Linked DNA regions of Oryctolagus cuniculus. The protein of the gene in region 2 interacts with the protein of the main gene of each other region in a pairwise test. Links are inferred from orthologs where the notes say so. Each region holds a gene or a part of one and is shown on either strand. Other genes may lie near its edges.

The links. The genes of interacting proteins can lie anywhere in the genome.
Region 1: the proteins of VIM (region 2) and PPL interact in binary tests that used the Homo sapiens proteins (3 or more experiments, as listed by UniProt). The link is inferred for Oryctolagus cuniculus from reciprocal best matches to the Homo sapiens genes VIM and PPL.

Annotation. Positions count from the first base shown.
Region 1 is NC_091450.1:30,767,277-30,771,765, forward strand, and holds part of PPL (periplakin), read left to right. Parts: intron 1-1,345; coding exon 1,346-1,468; intron 1,469-1,545; coding exon 1,546-1,692; intron 1,693-2,110; coding exon 2,111-2,262; intron 2,263-2,994; coding exon 2,995-3,092; intron 3,093-3,273; coding exon 3,274-3,431; intron 3,432-4,200; coding exon 4,201-4,379; intron 4,380-4,462; coding exon 4,463-4,489. UniProt on the Homo sapiens protein: Component of the cornified envelope of keratinocytes. May link the cornified envelope to desmosomes and intermediate filaments. May act as a localization signal in PKB/AKT-mediated signaling.
Region 2 is NC_091444.1:43,372,579-43,377,067, forward strand, and holds part of VIM (vimentin), read left to right. Parts: intron 1-2,714; coding exon 2,715-2,810; intron 2,811-2,897; coding exon 2,898-3,059; intron 3,060-3,854; coding exon 3,855-3,980; intron 3,981-4,480; coding exon 4,481-4,489. UniProt on the Homo sapiens protein: Vimentins are class-III intermediate filaments found in various non-epithelial cells, especially mesenchymal cells. Vimentin is attached to the nucleus, endoplasmic reticulum, and mitochondria, either laterally or terminally.

The sequences.
Region 1 (4,489 bases), on a different chromosome or scaffold from region 2:
CCTGAGCAGAGAGAGTGTCCCCGTGGGCGCTGTCCACACCGGCTCTGAGCAGAGAGAGTGTCCCCGTGGGCGCTGTCCACACCGGCCCTGAGCAGAGAGAGTGTCCCCGTGGGCGCTGTCCACACTGGCCCTGAGCAGAGAGAGTGTCCCCGTGGGCGCTGTCCACACCGGCTCTGAGCAGAGAGAGTGTCCCCGTGGGCGCTGTCCACACCGGCCCTGAGCAGAGAGAGTGTCCCCGTGGGCGCTGTCCACACCGGCCCTGAGCAGAGAGAGTGTCCCCGTGGGCGCTGTCCACACTGGCCTTGCCTGTCCCCGTTGGCAGTGAGGAGCAGGGGAGACTTGAACATGTGGTCTGTGTGGCTCCTGTCACTCCACCTCTCGTGCGCAGGGCCCAGCTGTGTCACGGTGTGGGTCAGGCCTTCATCCTTTAGTTGTGAGAGGCAGTGAGCCTGGGAGAGAGAGAGCACCCACCACTGACTCGCTCCAGACCCCTGCAGTGGCTGGGCTGGGCCGGAGCCCTCCCTGGGAACTCCGCCCAGGCAGGAACCCACGTACTCGTGCCGCCCCCCGCTGCCTCCCAGCGTGTGCATAGCAGGAAGCCGGATCGGGAGTGGAGCCAGGATCGGGCCCGGGCGCTCGGATACCATACGTGGGTGTCCCAAGGACATCTTAACCCAGGACAAAGGCTCGCCCCGTCGCTTCGTTCACTCTCCGGGCTGGATAGCGTTCTGTCGCAGGGTAGACCTGTGGTTCAACAGGAGCGAGTGGGGGTCAGGTGACAGACGCCGCGCCACCCCTGGTTCGCTGTCTGAGCCACACAGGGAGCCTCGTGGGGATCCCTCGGTCCTGCTGGTGGCCACAGCTCAGAACCTCAGCCCAGGGGACGCCTGCCCATGAGCGACACAGCAGGTGCGCGAGAGAATATTCAGGAACAGCAAGGGGCAGGGGTGCATCGAGGCTTGGGATGAAGGCGCAGTCTCGCACCATTTAACGACACCGACCTGTCCCGAGCGGTGCTTTGCCGTTGTCTGTGCCTCAGAGTGGCCTTAACCTAAGGGCTGTGACGTCCCCAGTCCTTATGGGATCCCATCACGCCTGTGGTCCGCCCTTGACCCAAGCCGCACGGTGCCGTGTGTTCCTCGCACAGAGGGGAACGGGGTGAAGGACCGGGACTTCCTGGTGCAGCAGTGGACACCTCCCTGTCGTAGGCTCGCGGGGAGGCGGCCGGAGAGGGGGCCGTGTCCTGCTGCCCAGGAAGGCCCTGGGCTGCACTTAGCCCGGATGGGGAGCCTGAAGCCACAGCCGGAGGCTTCCTGATAGAGTCCCCCCCCCCCCCCCCGCCCAGTTCCACAAGGATGTAAAGGACGCTCAGGAGCTGCTGCACAAGGTAGACTCGGACCTGAACCAGAAGTTCAGCCCCGACTTCAAGGACCGGTACCAGATCGAGCTGCTGCTGCGGGAGCTGGACGTGAGTGACGGCCCTGCCTCGGCCCCTCCCCCCGGGGGCGGGGCCGGTGGGCTCACCAGAGCGGCCACTCCCTGCAGGACCAGGAGAAGGCCCTGGACAAGTACGAGGACGTGGTGCGGGGGCTGCAGAAGCGAGGCCAGCAGGTGGTGCCGCTCAAGTATCGGCGGGAGACCCCGCTCAAGCCCATCCCGGTGGAGGCGCTGTGCGACTTCGAGGGCGAGCAGGTGAGCAGCCCTGGCCCCCAGCTGCCCTTTCCCGGAGGGCGTCTCCGCGCTGTCACTGCAGCCCACGCACAGCCCCACCCGCCCGCCCTGGCCTTCTTACCAGCTCAGCAACCCCAGGGACGGCAGCAGGAAGTCCCAGGGAGGGCTGGCGCTGGCCCTGGTGAGCCCCGTGGCCACCTCGGAGCAGGCACTGTGGCTGGGAACACCAGCCTCTCGCTGGCTAACCCTCATGCAAATACTGGGAACGGGGAGGGAGGGGAGGCGGGCTGCTAGCCCAGCAGACCCCCCCCCCCGGCCCTCCCCACCTGCGGGGCTAGAGCTCTCAGGAGGGCTTGGGGACGGCTGGGGGAGCGGGGGCGAGACGGCCCGGGCCGAGGCGGGTCTCCCGTGCGCTGACTGCCGGGCCCGCCCTCGCCAGGGCCCGATCTCCCGGGGGTACAGCTATACGCTGCAGAAGAACAACGGCGAGAGCTGGGAGCTCCTGGACGGCGGCGGGAACAAGCTGACCGCCCCGGCCGTCTGCTTCATGATCCCGCCCACTGACCCCGAGGCCCTGGCTCTGGCGGACAGGTACAGCCCGGGGCGTCTCGCCCAGCAGCAGGGGGTCACCAGCACCTGCTGCCCTCACCCCAGGGAGGCGCAGGGCAGGGCAGGGCAGGGGGCCGGGAGGCAGGCTGGTCTGGCTGCTCTGCTGACGGGGCCTGGGCAAGGAGCAGCTTCTCTGCCGGTGCCCCCGGGCCTCTGCAGGTGCCGCTAGCTGCCAAACAACTCGGGCCGGTCCCTACCCCTCCCCTGGGGTCTCACACAGCTGCACTGCTGTTGACTCAGCAGTTTGGGTGTGGGTTGGTCTGCTTGGGCCGGGGCTCACAGCATGTGGCACCTGCAGGGCCCAGCAGGCACCTGGGAACGCTGGGGAGTGAGTGGTTCAAGGAATGCCTTCATTTACGCATCCAACAACTGCTTACTAAGCACCTACTGTATACCCTCCCTCGGGGCTAACATCCTGGGGGGAACACCAGTGAACACACAGAGGATTTTGGGTAGCATGACCGCCGTGAAGCGAGGAGGAGGAGGAGGGAGGCGGTGGCGGAGGGGGGGCGTGTCTTTCTGAACCCAGGAGCGGAGATGGCGGGCGAGTGTCGCAGCCGGCCCTGGCCGTCCTCATCAGGCCTCCAGCCTCACAGAGCACTCGCCGAGTTGCGGGGTCCCTCTGGGCTGCTGACGCCGCCAGTGCCCGCCTCTCACCTCCGTGGCCGGGGGGATGGTGGGCTGCCCAGGGCTCCAGCTCGTTCTTGCCCACAGCCTGGGCAGCCAGTACCGGAGCGTGCGGCAGAAGGCAGCCGGGAGCAAGCGCGCACTCCAACAGCGGCACGAAGTGTTGAAGACAGAGAACCCTGGAGGTGGGCGCTGGGGCCCCCTGCCCGAGGCCCTGGGGGACCAGGTTCTGTGCTCTGGCCAGGGTGGTGAGGGTTGGCACCACAGGGAGAGGGGCAGCTGCCTGCCCAGTGGTTCCTCCTGGCCCCTGAGGCCCCTGGCTCTCACCTCCCAAACCCCAACGTGACCCATGTGCCTCCTTGGCAGATGCCTCGGACCTACAGGGGAGGCAGCTGCTGGCCGGCCTGGACAAGGTGGCCCGCGACCTGGAGCGGCAGGAGAAGGCCATCACGGGCATTCTGCGGCCGCCGCTGGAGCAGGGCCGGGCTGTGCAAGACAGCGCCGAGCGGGCCAAGGAACTCAAGGTACTGCTGGGCCGGGGCACAGACCGGCCCTGGGCCCCCACTCACCGTCAGGCCCCTGTGGGGTCCCGGGAGTCCACGCAGGTGCTCACTGCACGCAGCCAGGCACCATAACCGGATCCTGAACCGGTCGGGGAGGCACGTTGCTGTCGCCACCCCAGGTTCTAGACCAAGGACCAGGCCCTCGGCAAGGTGCCTGGTCCTGATGCCCCCCACCCCCAGACACGTGCCTAGGCGGAGCTGGCAAAACCCGTGTGGCCTCAGCGGGGCTGCCCAGCACCTGCTCAGCACCCGGCCCAGGCTCCCATCAGCAGTGGGGTTTGCCACTCTGAGCTGGGCTGTGCCGGGCTCTGGGATTTCAGCTCGGCCGCCAGCTGCCTGAGCCCAGACACACCACGGAGGGCCGCCGGCTTCCCCGACTCCAGCTACCTGGGCCGGCCCCGACTCTGGGGCACCTGGTGATGTGTGGAGCCCTGGCAGGTGCCTGGCGCCCTGCACCTGCTGCTTCTACAAGTGGTTTCCCGTGTCTTCCCAGCAGCCTCTGCGGTGGGGCTTACCAGTCCTACCTGAGCCACTGCTGGCCACACCTGTTGGTTCACAGTCCACCTTCACCGGGCTTCCCTGGCGTGCCGATTAACAATGCCGGCTGCAGGCTGGTGCCCAGGCTCTCCAGCCTCTCCCACCGCCCCTGAAGCGCTGGGGTCTCCTAATGCCCACCCCAGGACCATCCCTGGGGAAGCGGCTGCTGACCTGGGGGGTCTGGTCCCCACAGAGCATCGCCGAGGAGCTGCTACGTATCGAGCCCGAGAAGACGCACAGCACGGCCGAGTGTGACGCCTTCGTCCAGGCCCTCCCAGGCAGCGGCTCAGCGCCCTTGCTGAAGACCCGCGTGGAGGACACCAACCGGAAATATGAGCGCCTGGTGCAGCTGCTGGACTCGGCCCAGGAGAAGTGGGTGCCAGGCGGGCAGCAGGGAGGTCGGGCTGGGCTGGAGGGGCCCAGCGGCACCCCCCACTCCCTGCTGATGTCCTCAGGGTCGACGTGGCCAACCGCCTGGAGCA
Region 2 (4,489 bases):
TTGAATGATTTCCTTAGTTGCTTAGGACATAAAGTCTTTTATACTTTTTTGTTTTGTTTTGTTTCAACAGTTATTTTCCCCCCAAGACATATTTTTTCATATCATTTTTGCAACACATTAACATTCGGATTGCGAACAGTTACAGTTTGGCTTAGATTCTGGTTTGCTAAAGCCAAGCTGGTTGACTTTTTACAAGGCCACAAAAAGCGCAGTTAGGCCCTGTGGCTTCCAATGTAAAATGTGTTGGAGGATGAGACGCTGGCATGCAGCCAGTAGGCTGCTTCCCTGCTCTGCAAGTCTATTGTGGCGTTCAAGTTAGGTGGAAGTTATCACTAGGCACAGCCATCTGCGCGCTCAGCTGAAGGGTGTTAGTGGTTCCCATGGGCTTCACCAGGAATGTAGATACAGACGTGCTGGCAAATGTGGTGGCCCTAGACAGACATAATAGGAGTCTTTGTGTTCCCAGAACAGCTTTGCTGCAGGCTACATTCTCATTGAGAATGTAGTGATGTAAGCACAGTTCTCATTGGACAGAAGTATTTGCCAACATCAGCTACCTACTCTCTGGCCCAGACTTGGGAAGGCTGCGATGTGAAACCTTGCACACGCTACAGTCATTCTTTGTGTTTTGAAAGACCTGTATGGGGGTCTTTGACACTATCTCCATCAACAAAAATAACTGCAGAGTGTTTTTTTTTTTTTTTTTTTTTGGCTCTAAAGTTAGATGGACTTAAAGGAATTTTAACTTACAATTGGAATCCTAAAACAGGAAGATCCCCATCATGGCTTGGTTCTCTGGAACATTCACTGGGGTTGGCTACCAAACACACTCAGGTGAACAGTCTAGGATAACATTTTGAAGATTTGCCTCATTAATCGAAACACAGCAATGTGTGGTTGCTGCCTCTGATCACTGTTCCTGATTTTTACCCCCATAACATGATATAATAGATCCCCCGTTGAGGAAAAAAATAAGGGAAAAAATCCTCATTCTCTTCAATGATATAAGAAGTAAAATATCTATATTTTCCTGTGCTTAACAAGAAGCAAAAACACTAATTTTTTCCAAGTTGGGTCTTTTTATTATCACTCACTCCTTATTCACTTTTGCATGATGGTTTTAGAAGTGTCTCAACATTTTAAGACTAGAAAACTGTAAACTGGACCCCAAATGTAGTTGCTTATAAGAGAAGGGGTATAAGGACCTAACTTAGCACATTCCCTTGAGTGGAAATGAAATCCTAACTGCAAGATCACACATTTTTAATTGGAATGTAGAAGGAGAGCAAGAGCTGCAAAGATTCTTACATGCAAGCATTTGACCATTCTGAAACAGGTTAAGGAACTGAATCAACACCGGGCAAGTACAAAGACGGACACGCCCTTAAAGGACAAGTCAGGGAGTTTCAGAATAGTCCACCAGAGAAAGCAAAGCGAATATAGTTCAAATTTCTATTCCTTAATTGCCTAAACTGCACCTTTGTGAAGGCACACCCTGAATTCAGCATTGGGTGGCTACTTGGTATAAATCTAGCCTTGCAATTAACCATGTAGTTGCTTTGAAGAAAGAAAAAGAACTTACAGATATGCCAAAACTTTTTAAAAATTAATTAATTTGAGAGACAGGGAGGGAGAGGGAGAGAATTCCCATCCCTTAGTTCACTCCCCAAATCCCCTGAATGGCCAGGGCTGGCCCTGGCTGACGCTGGGAGCTGGGAACTCATTTCAGGGTTTCCACACGAGCAGCAGGAACCCACTTATTCTGCACCATTACTGCTGCCTCCCATTAGCAGCAAACTGGAGTCAAGAGCCAGTGGCGAGTGTTCAGCCCAGCGAGTTTTCAGCCCAGCCACTCTGATATGGGACACGGGACACAGGGCGGGCAGAGTGGACAGTGAGAGAGAGAGAGAAAGAGTCAGAGAGAAAGGTCTTCCTTTTGCCATTGGTTCATCCTCCAATGGCCGCCGCCGCCGGCGCCGGCGCATCGTGCTGATCCGATGGCAGGAGCCAGGTGCTTTTCCTGGTCTCCCATGCGGGTGCAGGGCCCAAGCACTTAGGCCATCCTCCACTGCATTCCCTGGTCCCAGCAGAGAGCTGGCCTGGAAGAGGAGCAACAGGGACAGAATCTGGCGCCCCCAACCGGGACTAGAACCCGGTGTGCCGGCGCCGCTAGGCGAAGGATTAGCCTAGTGAGCCACGGCGCCAGCCATGGACGGGCATCTTAACTGCTCAGCCAAGCACTTACTTGCCCTGTGCTGAAACTTCTTCTCTACATGTACTCTTATGGACATGAAATTGTAGAGTCCAATTTACTTCTATTATCATGTTATTGCAAGAAATTACAAAAAAAAGTTTTGAAAATGCTATGGCATTGATTTTCTAGATTAAAAAAATAATAAAGCCTTACTGGCAAAATATGGGCTCAGTAATAATAGAGTGCAGCTTACAATGTTGGCATACATTTATCTATTTTAAATTGGCTATTAGGCACCATGAGTACAGCACAGTGGGTCCAAATTCAAACTCAAAAAGCATACAACATAGCATAGTACTAAGTGACTTGTAAACTTATTTGAGGATCATGAAATTTATCAACCATGTTTTCCACAGTAAGGAGACCAGACGGGATATGTATGGTTAATTTCAAAAGAATGAGTGAGCTAAACCTACGCATCAGCGTCCCCCATGCCCTGTCTTTTCTCTTTTGAAAACAGGACGTTGACAATGCTTCTTTGGCACGTCTTGACCTTGAACGTAAAGTGGAATCCTTGCAGGAAGAGATTGCCTTTTTGAAGAAACTGCACGATGAGGTAAGCGGAGCAGCCTTTAGAGAGTCAGTGAGGGCAGAGCTGCTGTCGGAGCTGGCACGGCTGACCTCCCGTCTGTCCTTTTCTCAGGAAATCCAGGAGCTGCAGGCCCAGATCCAGGAACAGCATGTCCAGATCGACGTGGATGTCTCCAAGCCTGACCTCACAGCTGCCCTGCGTGACGTACGTCAGCAGTACGAAAGTGTGGCTGCCAAGAACCTCCAGGAGGCAGAAGAATGGTACAAGTCCAAGGTATGCAATGAGGCAGTGTGGTCAGAACAAAAGAAAAGTATTTTTTCGATCTGGAAATACTGCACCTGCCGGTAATTCCTAGATAGATTTTAGCTCCAATCAAAAGTTGGCTTTCGGCCGGCGCCGCGGCTCACTAGGCTAATCCTCCACCTTGCGGCGCCGGCACACCGGGTTCTAGTCCCGGTCGGGGCGCCGGATTCTGTCCCGGTTGCCCCTCTTCCAGGCCAGCCCTCTGCTGTGGCCAGGGAGTGCAGTGGAGGATGGCCCAGGTGCTTGGGCCCTGCACCCCATGGGAGACCAGGAAAAGCACCTGGCTCCTGGCTCCTGCCATCGGATCAGCGCAGCGAGCCGGCCGCAGCGTGCCGACCGCGGCAGCCATTGGAGGGTGAACCAACGGCAAAAGGAAGACCTTTCTCCCTGTCTCTCTCTCTCACTGTCCACTCTGCCTGTCAAAAAAAATAAATAAATAAATAAATAAAAATAAAAAAAAAAAGAAAAAAAAAAGTTGGCTTTCACTTATTCAAATTTTGTTGCTGCGGCCTCCCTACTGCTCACATCACTTCCTGTAGTCTAGCAGCTTCCCTTTCTGCTAATCTTCCTCCACCTACTTCAAAGAAAACCTCAAAACTTTGCACTTGACCTTCACCATTTTTAAAAAAGTACAAATGAATTCTGTTTGAAACTGTCAGCATCAGCATTCCACTGCTCTTTCTCTGCTTTAAGTGTAGACAGTGGGGCAGAATGGTGTGATCTCTTGAATGTGGGCAGTCTACATTACTGATGTCTTTCCAACAGTTTGCTGACCTCTCTGAGGCTGCCAACCGGAACAACGATGCCCTGCGCCAGGCAAAGCAGGAGTCAAATGAGTACCGCAGACAGGTGCAGTCCCTCACCTGCGAAGTGGATGCGCTTAAAGGAACTGTGAGTACCACACGACAATGCAAGAGTGAAAAGAATGAGCTCGGGCCCATTCTACTGACCAAACTAACAGTGATATCTGAAACAAAATTTTAAATGAAAAAAATATGACACACCAAAGAAAATGAGTTATCAAGAAAGACTCAAAAAGCAGTAGATGGAGATCTTGAAGGTTTTAGCTTACATTTAGGGGAACTTCAAAAGTTTCATGGAAAATAGAATTAAAAGGTAAGTGTTTCCTTTTTTGGGGGTGAGTTTTTGATGCATAAACTTTTGAAATCCATGCATGGTTTTTCATAATACACATTTTCCATGAACTTTTGAAGACCACTCTTATATCATTAATTCTAGTAGAGGGATATGGTACTTAATATTCTCCATCTAAGATTACAGTGGTCACCATTTGCCACTTCAGAAAAACATGGCAAATGATCTGTACATGGTTCTGGAAATAGCCGGATTTTTCTAGGAAATAACATTGAAGCCTTTCTCACCTCCTCCAGAACGAGTCC